Linked DNA regions of Drosophila melanogaster. The protein of the gene in region 2 interacts with the protein of the main gene of each other region in a pairwise test. Each region holds a gene or a part of one and is shown on either strand. Other genes may lie near its edges.

What was found.
Region 1: the proteins of Rbsn-5 (region 2) and Vps45 interact in a two-hybrid assay, tested with the Drosophila melanogaster proteins (2 studies listed by BioGRID).
Region 3: the proteins of Rbsn-5 (region 2) and CG10209 interact in a two-hybrid assay, tested with the Drosophila melanogaster proteins (one study listed by BioGRID).

The regions. Positions count from the first base shown.
Region 1 is NT_033777.3:9,562,016-9,566,710, reverse strand, and holds Vps45 (vacuolar protein sorting 45), read right to left. Parts: upstream 2,788-4,695; 5' UTR 2,686-2,787; coding exon 2,593-2,685; intron 2,530-2,592; coding exon 2,331-2,529; intron 2,280-2,330; coding exon 847-2,279; 3' UTR 619-846; downstream 1-618. Other genes in the region: CG16789 (uncharacterized protein), read right to left, coding at 1-155, 248-487; CG9393 (uncharacterized protein), read left to right, coding at 3,189-3,275, 3,375-3,521, 3,616-3,894, 4,141-4,536.
Region 2 is NT_033779.5:8,157,814-8,162,382, reverse strand, and holds Rbsn-5 (Rabenosyn-5), read right to left. Parts: upstream 2,552-4,569; 5' UTR 2,292-2,551; coding exon 1,625-2,291; intron 1,567-1,624; coding exon 956-1,566; intron 891-955; coding exon 651-890; 3' UTR 583-650; downstream 1-582. Other genes in the region: Acbp1 (Acyl-CoA binding protein 1), read left to right, coding at 58-72, 146-260, 320-462; CG43394 (uncharacterized protein), read right to left, coding at 3,672-4,139, 4,204-4,366, 4,435-4,569; PAPLA1 (phosphatidic acid phospholipase A1), read left to right, coding at 2,951-3,164.
Region 3 is NT_033778.4:14,845,499-14,850,140, forward strand, and holds CG10209 (uncharacterized protein), read right to left. Parts: upstream 2,869-4,642; 5' UTR 2,705-2,868; coding exon 2,702-2,704; intron 2,474-2,701; coding exon 2,318-2,473; intron 2,267-2,317; coding exon 920-2,266; coding exon of another isoform or gene 833-919; 3' UTR 566-832; downstream 1-565. Other genes in the region: SMC2 (structural maintenance of chromosomes 2), read right to left, coding at 3,174-4,611.

The DNA.
Region 1 (4,695 bases), on a different chromosome or scaffold from region 2:
TCCATGGGCGTCAGGCGCAGGCGTTCCACCACCTCGTCGTTGTAGCTAAATTCCATCAAGTCGATATTTACGAGATCGTGCTTCAGCTCCACCACTCGACCCAGACAGGCGTCTAGTAATTTACGCACCAACTGGCGCTTCTGAGGCTGAATCATCTATGATGAAAGATGAGAAGTAAACCAGAGTCAAAGGATATATCATCTCCTTATATATATCCCACTTTTGTTTAAGAAAGTCGTATACCCACATTATCATAGACATCCTCCAAACGATTGCTCAGACATATGTAGCGCAGATAGAACTCGTACAGACTGGACTGCAGCAAGGCCTTGGCATCCGCATCGGCGGCGACGGATCCGACCGCTGCATTCATGGTGGCCACCGTCGTCTCCACATCCTGGTGCTGCCTCTCATAGTCAATCGTGGATAGAAGCTCGCATTCATGCTGGGATTGGTGCCAGATATCATTGAAATATGTGCTGGACATGATGGTCAATGATACTCCTCCAATGAAAAATCAGATTCTTGTTTGAGCCAAACGAAACGTTGCCTGGGAGTTGCCAAGGAACTTTTTGCCGAAACGGGGTGGAATTATTGCAAGGACAACGAGAGTTTAGTAATTTTGTACACACATAGTTGTATATAATACATTTTGTCCAAGGCGTTGCCTGGTGTTACCCTCGAGAATAACAATAAATATGTTTACATGGTTACGCTTAAAAGGTTAAATAGTCCAATGGATTTGAATTGGTACAATGCATGGAATACCTTAATACATAATGCACATTCATATTTAGTTAATAAATAGTTAACAATATAATTGGGGCTATCTAGTCAAAATAGACTTTAAATGTTATCCGTGGAACAGTACTTGATCATGGATTTGGTGTGCTTAAACTGAATGCCACTAGTGGCGGCCACGACCTCTTGGATAAAACTCTGCGAGTTATGGATGGTGGTGCCGCCAAGAATGACTTTATAGCCGGCGTTGTTTAACTGGTGCACCGCTAAGGCTTCCTCGTACGTGGCACCGCCAATAATGAACACGACAACCTCCTGCGGTGGTCGTCGAAATGGCACAAGCTCTGAATTGATGGCCGGGAAGAGGGGATCCAGCTCGCGGCCCTTAAACACGTCCTCCAAAGTTTCCTTCAGGAGAGGAGTGTGCTGTGTGAAGACATTTTCCACACCCTTAAGGCCCTTAATCAAATTCCGTGTCAGCTTTACGGCGTCCGTTATCCGCACCATATTGAAGAGATCTCCTTGTCGTACATGGGTTCCAGCATACTCAATCAACGATGGCACTATAGCCGCTCGTCCACCGCGCGTTTTGATTATTTGCAGCAGTCCAGATGTGTCGCAGTTGGCGTGTCGCTCGTATCGCAATGCATAAAGTGCCACCAACTTAAGAGCATCATCGATGGAAACCCGTTCGTCGGCAATTAGTTTTTTGATTCTCTGCAGCTGGGCCGAGTGCTCCGCCTTGCAAGCGATCTCCTGTTCAAGTTCGGAAACCTCGAAGAGATTCCTCTTGTTGCTCAGCGCCGACAGTTCTCCAATCACACACAAATGCTTTTGCACAGTGCCAGACATTTTTTTAAACTGCGGATATGACTCAATAAAGTTCTTCATGTCTGCTATGCTCTCCACTTTCTTGTGGTCGTTCGCCTTGCGCTGGAACTCCTCCATCAGTTGTTTGATGGTAGATCCGATTTCGCCGTAGTTGGCGTACATGTTGTTGCCATAGAAGTCATCCTGATCACCGGATAAGACCAGCTCCTTGAAGTCTTTCGGCACATTGGGGCAATTGGACAGGTCCAATCGATTGTTTTTTATGTGCAGCAACTCATGCACCATGGCCTGGTATGTCCACTGATGCAAAAGCGGCGTCACAGGATCGTCCCTGCGGTCCAGCACAAGCAGCAGCGGTGGCGCAGCGCCATCCATGTTGGAGCGAAAGTCGAATAGCGAGGACTCTTTTGTGATTTGCTCGTATATGAGCTTGGCCAGAAGCTGCGCTGCCTGAGAACCGGCTCGGTACCGGATCACTGGGTTCAGCTTAAGGGACAACAGCACGGCTGTGATGCCCTGCATGCTGCGGTTGAGAGCGTCCGGCAGCCAATTAAGATTCGCCATGCAATTGGGAATGCCTAATGAGAACAGATTGGGGTTGACGCACAGGTAGTCTGCATACAGTTCCTTCACTTCTCGCACCGATTCGGATTCGTCGCACTCTGCCAAGTATTTAATGTCCGTCCGGGGAATGATGTTGCTGAAATCTATTTATGAGTTTAGTACTATTCCGAAGGTGCTTCTACTGACCCACTTACAAATGTAGTAGGCGCTGTATTTGGGGTTCCGCAACTCGTTGGCCAGTAGCTGGATGTTCTGCTTGGTGGGGCGTATAAAGACGATGCATTTTAGATACTTTAACCGCTCGTTGGATCTTCCCGAGTCCAGGCGCTCAAATAGGTACACCTCCCGTTGCAGCATGTCCGATTGGCTAAAGGCCATCGAAATTATACTGGTCTGCGAATGATGTGAATTTTTGATCATATGGCAGGGGATTTGATTGTCAGTCCTTGCACTTACCGTCTCCTTGTCCAGCAGAATGATTTTCATGCCCGGTCCCGACTCGGAGCACATTTTCTCGATGTACAACTTAATGCCGCTTATCAGATTCATGACTGCTAACTAATTTACTGCGAAAATCAGAAATTAATGTTTTTTTTCGCAAACAGATGGGTTGGAGATGCCCCAATTGCGATAGCTCCGTGATAACAGCGGTGACCAAACATTTGGGTAACATTCGCTAGATCTAGCTAATGTAAAATAATGTGAATATGTAAAAATGCATATAGATAAAAACTTACAATTTTTTGGTAGTATAATAAAAATAGCAATAAAGATAAACATAAATAGCAATTAAGCTCAAACATAATTCCGTATCTTTTCATTAGCCAAAATAAACTTCGAGTAGCAACATCCCTGGCCGGCAATCGATAAAGCGCCGATATGCTCGAGCGATATATCGAGTGCCCAGTAGTTATCAGTCTGAAGCACTCGCAGCAGTCGGCCAGAAATTCTGGCATATATTTTTGGATTCAAATTCGGATGGCTGATATGCAGGTGGACTGTTGAAAACCGGCTAAATACAAGAGTACGAGCAAAGCATAGACTAGGACACAATGGAGATGCAACTGGGAGCCATGCTGTATGTGTACAAGGGGGAGTACGGACTGCCGTCCATAGATTTTGAATGTTTACGTGCTCTGGTAAGTTCCGTTGCATCACACGGCGGCCAGCACGCCTGTTTTGCCCATTATCGCAGATGATGAAAGAAACTGATGAAAGCGCCTCTTTGCCGGAAACAGTGCCTCCTGCGATTCACCCGCTGCCCCATGGACGTGCAGACCAGCTCCAATCCGCTGCGTTCGGGAGCCGGGAAGCTGCCGTATCTGCAGATCGGCAACCAGAAGTTCGCGGGCTATAGGCAAATTAAGCGCGTGCTGGATCTCGAGGTGAGTGAGCAAAACAATGCCGGGGTGAACAAACTGCAGGCTCTATTTATAGATATGTGTTTTTTTATGGGCTTAATTCGACGTATTCTTTCAGGGTTACCCGATAGATGCGCATTTAAGCACTAAACAAAAGCATTTGTCCACCGCCTACGCCAACTGGGTGTTCACCAATCTGCATGCCTACTACCACTACTTCCTGTTTGGAGAGCCTCACAATTTTGACACAACCACGCGGGGCCTCTACGCCAAGCGCACGCCATTCCCCTTCAACTTCTACTACCCGTCGTCCTACCAAAGGGAAGCCTGCGACGTGGTTCAGGTGATGGCCGGTTTCGATGTGAACGACAAGTTGGACAAGCACGAAGGCGACTACGTGAGTGCTTTCAATTTCATATTGTCTCATATTACATTATTGTATCTTTAAATCCGAGGATTTTTTAATTTGTTTATCTAACCTATGTTTTACACCCAAGCTGCATTTCGATTGGAAACGTTTCATCAGTTTATATTAATAAGAAACAGTTTCTCATGTATTGGTCTTTTGTTATCAATATATCTTATCAATGTTGTGAAAAGCAAGACGTTTCTTTAACTATCAATTAATCATTTTACTTTACAGCTCGTTGTCAATGCCAAAAAAGTGGTGAACCTGCTCTCCCGGAAATTGGGTCGCAAGGTGTGGTTCTTTGGCGACACCTACAGCGAGTTTGATGCCATTGTCTACAGCTATCTTGCCATCATCTTTAAGATCGCACTGCCTAACAATCCACTGCAGAATCACATTAAGGGCTGCCAAAACCTAGTGAACTTTATCAACCGCATCACGAAGGACATATTCCGCATCGAGGGATACAGTTCCGTCAAGCTCACAAAGACACCCAGTGGCACGGAGGCCAGTCTGACGGCCTCGGAGCGCAAGTTCCTAGACTCCGAGCTGAACACCAAAATAGTAGCCGGCGTGGGAGCCGTCTTGGCCATGGGAGCGTTTGCGGCATGGCGTGGGATTTACAACCAGGTGGGTATTTTTGGCTGAAATTTGTAGTTCTTTACTCTTGACTTGATGGAGCTTATTCGATAGTTCTGGTTCAATGTCTTCTGTTGGCTCCAGACACTCTTGTAGACAGCCTCAGCTTGAGCACGTGCAAAATTCTCAGTTAATTGCAAATTCCGATTG
Region 2 (4,569 bases):
TAAAATCGTGCAATTTCTTTTCCAAAGACTTCCACTAGTTAAAAAATAGATACAAAAATGTCCGAATTGCAGGTGAACTGAATCTACGTCAAATACGCATTCGTATCTTAAAGTCTGATTACCTATTCAAACTTAACCTAAACAGGAATTCAACCAGGCGGCCGAAGATGTTAAGAACCTAAACACCACACCCGGGGACAATGACCTTTTGGAGCTCTACAGCTTGTACAAACAGGCCACTGTGGGGGATTGCAATACAGGTGGGTCTCGGACATAGTCGTCACTCCGCTGCACCATCGATAATTCTAATCCAATGCAGATAAGCCCGGCTTTCTGGACTTCAAGGGCAAGGCCAAGTGGGAGGCGTGGAACAACCGCAAGGGAATGAGCAATACCGACGCCCAGGCCGCCTACATTACCAAGGTCAAGGCACTGATCGCTGCCGTTGGCCTGAAGTCATAGACTCAATCGAAATAGGATGTTGCATTTTATAGTCTCAGTTGTCGTCAAACGCACAAACTTTGATTTACAGAAACTTCGCACAAACTAAAATTTTTCGCACAATATACACCACAAATTCGTAACGTAACGTAAGCCATGTAATTTGTCATAGAGGGAATGAATATACATTTAACTATGTAGGATACTGCTTAGGCCTCTGTGGGTGAGGCGGCGGTGCTTCCCTGGGACTGGCGCTGTCGCTCGTACACTTCGCGCTGTAGCTCGCGAAGATTTAGCTCCAGCGTCTCCACCACCTCAAAGTTCATGTCCTGGCGAGCCTGTTTGATGTAGCCCTTAATGATGTTTATCTGCTCGATCAGCGGATCGTCCAGGCTGGACTTGCTAGCCGCCTGCGGTGCTGACCAGTTGTTCAGAGATTGAAGATCAGACTGTGAAGCAAATGGAATCACAGAGGTTACATATTGATCTTTGCAGAGAGTCCTCGTCTACATACCCCTTGGGCAAAGGATCCGCTTTCCGGACCAGGAACTCCAACGTTGGATTGGTTAGCTGCCATGTTATTTCGTTCGTAGGCTTCCATGGCCATGCGCTGTTCGGTGAGGATACGCTGCTCCGTTTCCATGCGTCTACGCTCCTGCATCTGGCGTATGTGCGATTCCTCTGGCAGTGGGGGCAGCGATAACATTCGCTCCTTGATGGCTTGGATGCAGCCCAACCGAATGGCCTTCTTTAATGCCTCCTCCCGGCTGCCTGGTTCACAAAATATGGCTAGAATGCGCTTGCTCCTCATGTCCATGGCCTCTGCCACTTGTCCAATCTTGCCGCGCAAAGCACCTGCATCCGCCAACGTGAAGATTGTGTCCCCTTCGTTCAAGCTATTGATGATCTTTAGATACATGTCCAGATCCGGGGTAACTTCTTTTTGTAGTTGACGAATTTGTTCGTAGACCTGGACGAGGAGTGGGCGACAAGTGCGACTTTCGTGCATATCCTTTCGGGTGTCCAGCAGCCAAAGGCAGTGTTCGCACAGCCGGATGGCGTTCTCATGCTGATGCAGCTGCTGAAGGGGCTCGCTTCTTGTGGTGGAAAGACTGGCTAGTTGCACTGCGGGATTATAATCAAATAAGTTACATTATTTTCCTCAATTATTGGATCTACAAACTGGCATCTTCCAGGGGCAGGAACTTGGAGCAATCATTGCACATTATGCCTCCGCACAAACGGCAGTGGTGTTGTCTTCGGGCGATGTGGAAACTCTTGGCACAACTGGGACACAACTTGACGGAACTACCATCCAGCCAGGCAACTGTTTGCTGTTCATGCTGACGCCGCTGCACTGAATCCGCTGGCAGATCCTTAAGCAGGCGGTGCAAACGAATGATTAGTTTGTTTGTTTCGCTGGCATATCGCTCCAGGCGAGGATTGCGAATGGACTGAAAGTACTCGAAGTGGGAGCACTCAGCACCAGGCTGCTGCCTGGCCATATAGTTAAATACATTTAGACGGGAGCGGGCATTACTGGGTCCATTGCGATCTCCGTTGCCATTGGGATTCTTGCCAGCCGCTGAAGAGGAGGAACCTGCGGGCGACGATACAGATGCACCTTTTTCATCCTCAAAGGGGTTTAGGATCTTCTTTTTCGCCTTGGTAAAGATATCTTTAAAGGATTTTAGGGCATCCTCCTCTTCCGCATGCTGGCGGGCAAAATGATCCGTGAGCACATCGATGGACTTGAGATCCGCACGGCAAATGGGACATAGGAAGCCCTCTAGTATCTCTCCACTGGCCGAGCTTTGATCTTCGTCGCTGTCGAAAGGATTTCCAGACATTCCGGCGATGAGTAATCGTAGTTAATTCGGTGGGTGTTATTTGTTGTGGTCTCCTCCCCAAAAAAAATTGACCCTAAGGTTTTCCACTTGTTTTAAAACAGTGGCATGACGGGGCTTACGGCACTTGTAGTCCTAAACTCGATTAATACGGTCAGAGTTTCTACAAATCCATTAATTTTATTTAAAAACTAATATTTGCAGAAATCATCAAGATTTATCTACTTCACTCTTCTTCTTCCCAAATTGCAATTCGAAATAATATCCGAGAATTAGGGCTGCAGCAAAAGCAATATTTGGCTATTTTTGCTGTTTATTTGGATTTTTGAAAATTTGTTTATGGTAGTCACGGAGATTTCATACTCTTTCCCAGTTAAAACTAGCTAGGAATATATATGTTATAAGCATATTTTGATTACCAGCTTTTGCCTATCCATTTCTGGATCCGCTGCAGCCCTGGTAAAAGCTTTCCATGGCGAATGGCCAATGCGCGGAAAGAAGCAGAATATTGCCTGCCTGGAAGTTTTCTCGGGTTTAACGCTTTTAATCCGTCGTGGGTGTCAATATCCTGTGTATAAAAATAATTCCTAAGGCAACTGTGCACTTGGCACACATCTTCATATCGAGTTAGCCCAATTTAAAGCTCCAGATCGGCCGCTAATATGTCGGAAAGATCGAAAGGTGACGTGTCCGCTCGCGTAAACAACAACGCAAACCAGACGCGTGTCGTTAAAAATCCGCTTCTGAGCGCCTCCGTGACCGGCCTGAGTTTCGACGACTTCCCCAACAAGCCGCAGCTCCTGCCAGCCGCCCCGCCCGTGGTCCATGCCACGCCTCCAGCGGCGCCCGTCCTCATCGCTGGCATCTTGAATCGCGGTAAGTGGGTCACCGTACGTTCGTGAATCTAACGCGGAGTGGGGGTCACCTGTTGCTCGGCTGCTATAATGATAAGCTGATAAGCCTGGCAAGGCACTTGACCTTCTTACCCTCTTCATAAACTGGGGTTGACTTTATCACGGATCAAGTTAATATAAACTACTTTCAGTGTATAGAGGAATGGGTCAGGTCAGCACTTATTTTGGCTTAAACAAATATGTATACCTACTACTAGCTGAACAAATATATAGATATATTATAATAGTTTTCCTAAATAAGACATTAGTTAAGTCCATTTAATCGTTTGAAATCACCGACATTGTTTATACTACTTTTTTTAAGTTGCACTTCGTTTCAGTAGTTTATGCAGGGACAAACAATTGTATCCTAAATATTTGCATACATTTAGTAAAACGGTGCCATATTGTATATCTGGTACTTCTATGGCATTTTATTAGACTTCGAGACCACATAGGTTCTAACTTGGCACAATAACATAACAACAATCTACTCCATGCTCCTAGTGGAGTGGGATCTATATGTGGGCAGCTCCAGCGTTGTCTTCCTCCGTCTGCAACACCACACAATGCTCCATATGAGGGCTGCAATAAGCAGGATCAGGAGAATGACTCCAAGGCAAATGGCTGCAATGGCGGCCTCGTTCAAATACACATCTCTGACATCGATGGTGAGGCTTCTCTGGTTCCCGGCCGCATCGAAAGCGATGAGTGATACCTTTGGTTCGCAGCAAGAGGCCATGTAGGTTGCCTTCAGGGGCTCTGTGCTACCAGCAGTATAATAGTTTCTGTAGAAAAGACCCTCTGGCGGCGAGGCCTGCAAACGCATCATGCCTGACTGCCAGTCCTGAGCGGTCACATCCACAGTCCAAAAACGTTCACCACAATTCTGGGATTCGGGCGTCAGGTAATCACAGCGGCTGCCAAACTCCCAGGATAGTGTAGGTCCAGTTGAGTCCTGGAAATTATATTTAAACATTTCAATTATGCTTTCATAATCAGGTTATCGGCTGTTCACATACCTGAGCATCTATGCTAGTCACCACTTTAAGATTTACCGCCAGAGTAGATGTTTCGCGACCGTAATTGGTGAAGGTAATCCGGTCTGTGGTGCCCTGAGCTGTGCCAGTGGGCACCAGAACAGTCAGACGCACTGTAGCCGTCTCCTGGGCGCGCAGGCTTAATCTACAAAGGCAGAAGTACGTAAGATATATAATGTGTAAACCAAAGACTTCGCTCTTAAGCGCTCCAACCTGGTAGGATTCAGTTGAACCAAGAAGCGCCGCTCGTCGGTGACTTGAATGGTGGAGTAAACCGTTTCCGTTTTCATGTTGGTGACCTCAAAGAGTAGCGTAGCTGTTTGACCAGCCATCACCAGCAGTTTCGAT
Region 3 (4,642 bases), on a different chromosome or scaffold from region 2:
TGCCGCCAATCCCTGTGATTCGATCGCTGACGATCAACTGCTGCTGGCAGCTGCCGGAAAAGAATGCCAGACCCAGTCTGCCTCCAGTCGATCCGCCTGTATCTGTATCTGTATCTCTTTATCCCAGCCGGACGCCACTGATAAGCGCCGCAGATCTGGCGGACTATGCTGCAGCTCGGCTCGTGATCGCTCATCAACCTGCCCAACATGCGACAGACAACGACGAGTTCGGCGATCGGCAGCGCTCAGTTGAAATTCGCACTTAGGCAGACCGGATCAGTCAGCTGTTTGACTATCTTTATGATATGGCGTGCTCCCTGTGGGTTTCGTTATCGCGTTACGAGAGATGAAGACTAGATATTCCTGAAGACAGCTTAACGACGGACCGCTTGCCGGATTTACAGCTTTTCAAAGTCCAAACAAACAAGATTGTGGATTCCACCTCAGAGCTAAGCCAATGACTTCTCCGATTTGGCCAGAAAAACAAAAACCTGGGAATAGGGAGCTCTTGCCAGAAGTTGGGGATCAATCATTTTACTTGAACTAAAAAACATCCACAGTTTTTAAGATTCAATTATATTTGTATTTACACCGAAAAAATGTATGCGTCGCGATCTATTGAGAACTTGAGTCACAGTTGAGCTACGCTGTTATTGCCACGGGAACATTTACATGAGGATCACGGCATCCACTTACTACAAAATGGCATACATCAGGAGTATCTTCCTCATTGACTGCACCATTTTTGACTGTAGTAGTGTAGTGAGCAATGTGTACTTAGGTATAGGCTAGCATAAGAATGAGACCTACGAATTGCCGTCTAAATCGAGGGCTAACAGCTGTGCGCGTCTGCCGTCGTGGGGGACACCGTCGCAGGGCGTGGTGCTCCACAAGTGGCTTCCCACAGACGGCTCAGGACTCATCCGACATTTTCGTAGGACATTGGAGGCCGTTCGCTGGCGGTCGATCCGAAGATCGTTGGCGGATGGTGTTGCTGTCCCTGTTGCTGCTGCTGGTGGGGATGCTGTTGCTGTTGCTGGTGGGGATTGTGGCCATGCTGGTGTTGCTGTGCGGTCGGCTGCTCGTTGCGAAGCTGTCCCAGCGGAAACATGATGTTGTGGGCCATCTGGGGGTGGTGCAGGTGCTCATTGGGTGGCGGTGGAGGCGGTTGCTGGTGGGCAGCATGAAGGGCCTGAGCGGCCTCCACATGCTTGCGTTGCTCGCTTTGCTGTTGCTGTTGCTGCTGATGAACCTTCTCCACGCTGTTCTCCTCGTACTTCTTCTGAAGTTGGAAAAGAGGCAGCTGCTGGGAGGTATGAATGGGCACAGCAACTGCGCCTGCAGATGCTACTCGCTCTACCTGTGATTGAGGCGATGGTTCACGCTCGCCCTTTTCGTATTTCTTTTGCAACTGGTACATGCTGTGGGACAAGTGAGTAGTCACCGTGCTACTGCCACTGCTGCTAGAGCTGAGTTTTGAGGAGGTTGACGTAGAGGAGGGCGCGGGCTTCTCCGCTTTGACAGGCGACTTCTTCTGATACTTCTTCAGTATCTGCATTAGTTCGGACTTTACATCAAGGCGTATCTCCTCCGGAACTCTCTTGATCTCTTCGTACAGGGATAAGAGGAACAGCTTGTCGGGATCCCGGTTCTTGCGCTTCTTGCTCTTTTTTGGAAATGCATCCTGCATGAACTGCAGAAGCTTCTCCTCAAATGGCGACTCTCTGGATAGTGATCCACTTCCATGCTGGCGCCTCAACAGGTGTGGATGCAAGCCACCGTGAAAAGCAGGGTGCTGGAGCATTCCGGAGTGGGATTGACCACCGCCGCTATGCTCGCCTCCTCCACCGCTGCCATTGTGCGCCTGCAACTGGGATACTGGGTGTCCCTGATATGAGCCACCATTGCTTGATCCAGGAGCATCATTGGTTTCGCCATCGTTGGTGTGATGATCCTGCTGCTGCTGTTGCCCTGCATGCGATTGCGGATCCTTCTGGTGCTGCATATTGTGCTGGTGATGGCCCACTGCTGCCGTGAGAATAGCATCGCACAGATGCTCCGGGGCGTAGTCCAAGCCGGTCAAGAAGTTCTCCGCCTTGAGCTCACCATTCATCTCCTCGTAGAAGTACTCGGTGCCCACAATGTCGATGATATCGTTGTCCTCCTGGTTTAGTTCGATCCCCGGTGGTGGAGATCCTCCAGAGAGTTGACAGCGCTTCAGTTCCGCCAGCTTTTTCCTTGTGGTCAGTCGCATATCGCGCCAGCACTGGAAGAAGATTAAAGTTTATTTTTGGATTTAATAGGCAAGTAAACGCACCTTTTTCCACTGAATAATCGTCTTCTTGGGACCAATAGTATTAAGGGCCGCTTGGATCTTCTCCCAATACCACTCCTTCTCCTTTTTGCCCTCCATGTACTTGGTTTCCCGCAGCAGTGTGATGAGCATCTTCTTCTGCGGCTTGGTCACTCGATCCTGGAAGAGTAAAACGGTTCATTAGCAATCCCACATTCCAATGAATGAAATTCCACAAATCGGTGCTTTTCCCGCCTCGAACACCACTCCAATTGTTGCTATTGTTTATCCAAATGCCAGCGGTGTCTACAATATTTTGCTGCTCCCCGCACACACACACGCACAAGTCGTGTGTGTGTGTGGTAAAAGAATCGGACGATTCGTAATTTTTGGAACCTTGCAAATTACCATGGTGAGCTTTTGAAGCAGTCTGCGTTGGCTCGAAATCTTGATGTTTTGTTTTTCAACCGCCGTCGAGTTTTTGCTGCTGAATTCCGGGGACTTTTGTTTAATTTTTCACTCCCTCAAACATTGCTGTTGCTGCCTTTCGTTCTTCTTCTTCTGTCCGCTGCGTATGTGTGTGTGTGCGTTTGACGGTCTCACCAGTTTGACGTTTCGCCCGCCCGGTTGGAAATCAGCTGATGCGCAAACGACCGTTACAAAATTAAATTTGTAGTTAAATTACTTATTTCGTTGATTTAAGTAATGTAGCAATAAGTATATTGACCGATGGCTCTTGAAATAAGTATATTGCTGTAATACACAACCTTTTTTGCGAATTAAAAAAACTTGAAAAAATTCACAATTAAAATGATAAGAACAGTTTTATATGGTATTTTTAAAGTTTTATTAAGTGATAAGAAAGTAAACGAGTTCCATTTCAGCGTTTGTTGGTTGTCGCCTGTCTGCTGACCTGCCGGGTGATGGTGGACACACCCTCCTCGAAGAGAGTGCGGAACAGGACGTTGGCGTGGTTGAAGAGACCATCCTTGAGAGACACAATCAAGAACTGCGAGTTGGTGAAGTGCTGCTTCAACATACTACCTATGTTTTGGGTGTGTGACATGTCCAGGGCAGCGTCCACCTCATCCAAAATGTACAAGGGAGCCGGAGAGAACTTAAGCATGGCCAGGACAAGGGACAGAGCCACCAAGGACTTCTGGCCACCAGAAAGTTCACCGAGACTCTCCTTCCATATGCCATTGAAGCCGACTTTAATCTCCAAACCGGTCAGACAGCCATTGGTATGGACGGGATTGAGTTTCGCTTCAGCACCCGGTAAAAGGGAGCTAAAGATCCCACTGAAGTTCGTGTTCACCTCGGTAGCGGCTTTGTTCAGCTGATCCTGCTCTTCTTCGTCCATCTTCACTATGATTTTCTTAATCTTCTCCTTGTCCATCGCCACAATGTTTCGCCGGCGCTCGGTCTCCTTGAAGTTCTCTTCCTCGCGATCCAGCACCATGATAGCGTTCATGTTGAGAGTGCGTTCCATTTTGTCCTTTTTCTCCTGCATCTTTGCCAGCTTGTTGCCTGCTTCGTGGGGGTCCTCCTTGCTGTAATCGTACCGAGTATTCTTCATGCCAAAGCAGTTCTTCTCCTCCGGAATCCACGGATACTTTGCCTCAAGGGCTTCCATCCGTTTCTTTGCCTCTTTGGCATCCGAACTGATCTTTTTTTGTTCGTTCTCTTTTTTCTTCACCTCCAGCTCAATCTCCTGATTTTCCTTCAACATTTTCTCCTTCTTGACCAACTGATTTCGCATCTCCTTGTTCTGATCTCTCAGTTTATCTTTCTGCTCCTTAATCGCCTGTTCGAGCTCCGTCACCTCGGACGCGGCACTGGAGCTATTTACTTTCAGAGCGTCTAGCTCGGCCTTAAACTTTTCGAGGTTATCAATCATTTCCTGGTGCTGCTTCTTTGCAGTTTCGATACTTTTCTGCAGCTCAGTAATTTCCAATTGAAGAGTTTCGAACTCCTGCTCTCGCTTTTTCCAGTTCGCACGAGATTTCTCCGCCCTTTGCTTGGTCACCTTGATCTCGTTGGTGGCTGCATTCAGCTCTCGCTCGCGATAACCCTTTGCATCTGCCAACTTCGCCTCGATATCCACTATTTTGGCTTGCGAGGTCTTCTGCTTTTCACGGGAGTCAATTATTTGCTGCTCTAGGGTCTTGACCCTTTCCCTCATTTCTTCAATTTCAGCCTGATTCTGTTGAAAGGTTGTTTGGGCCAACCTGTTCTCGCACATGGTTAGCTCGTGCTGTCGCAAGTCAAGATTTTCCTTCATTTTGTTGAACGCGAGGGCCTGGTTTTCAATGGATCTAAAAACAGATAGGCGTAAGTATTGGCAAT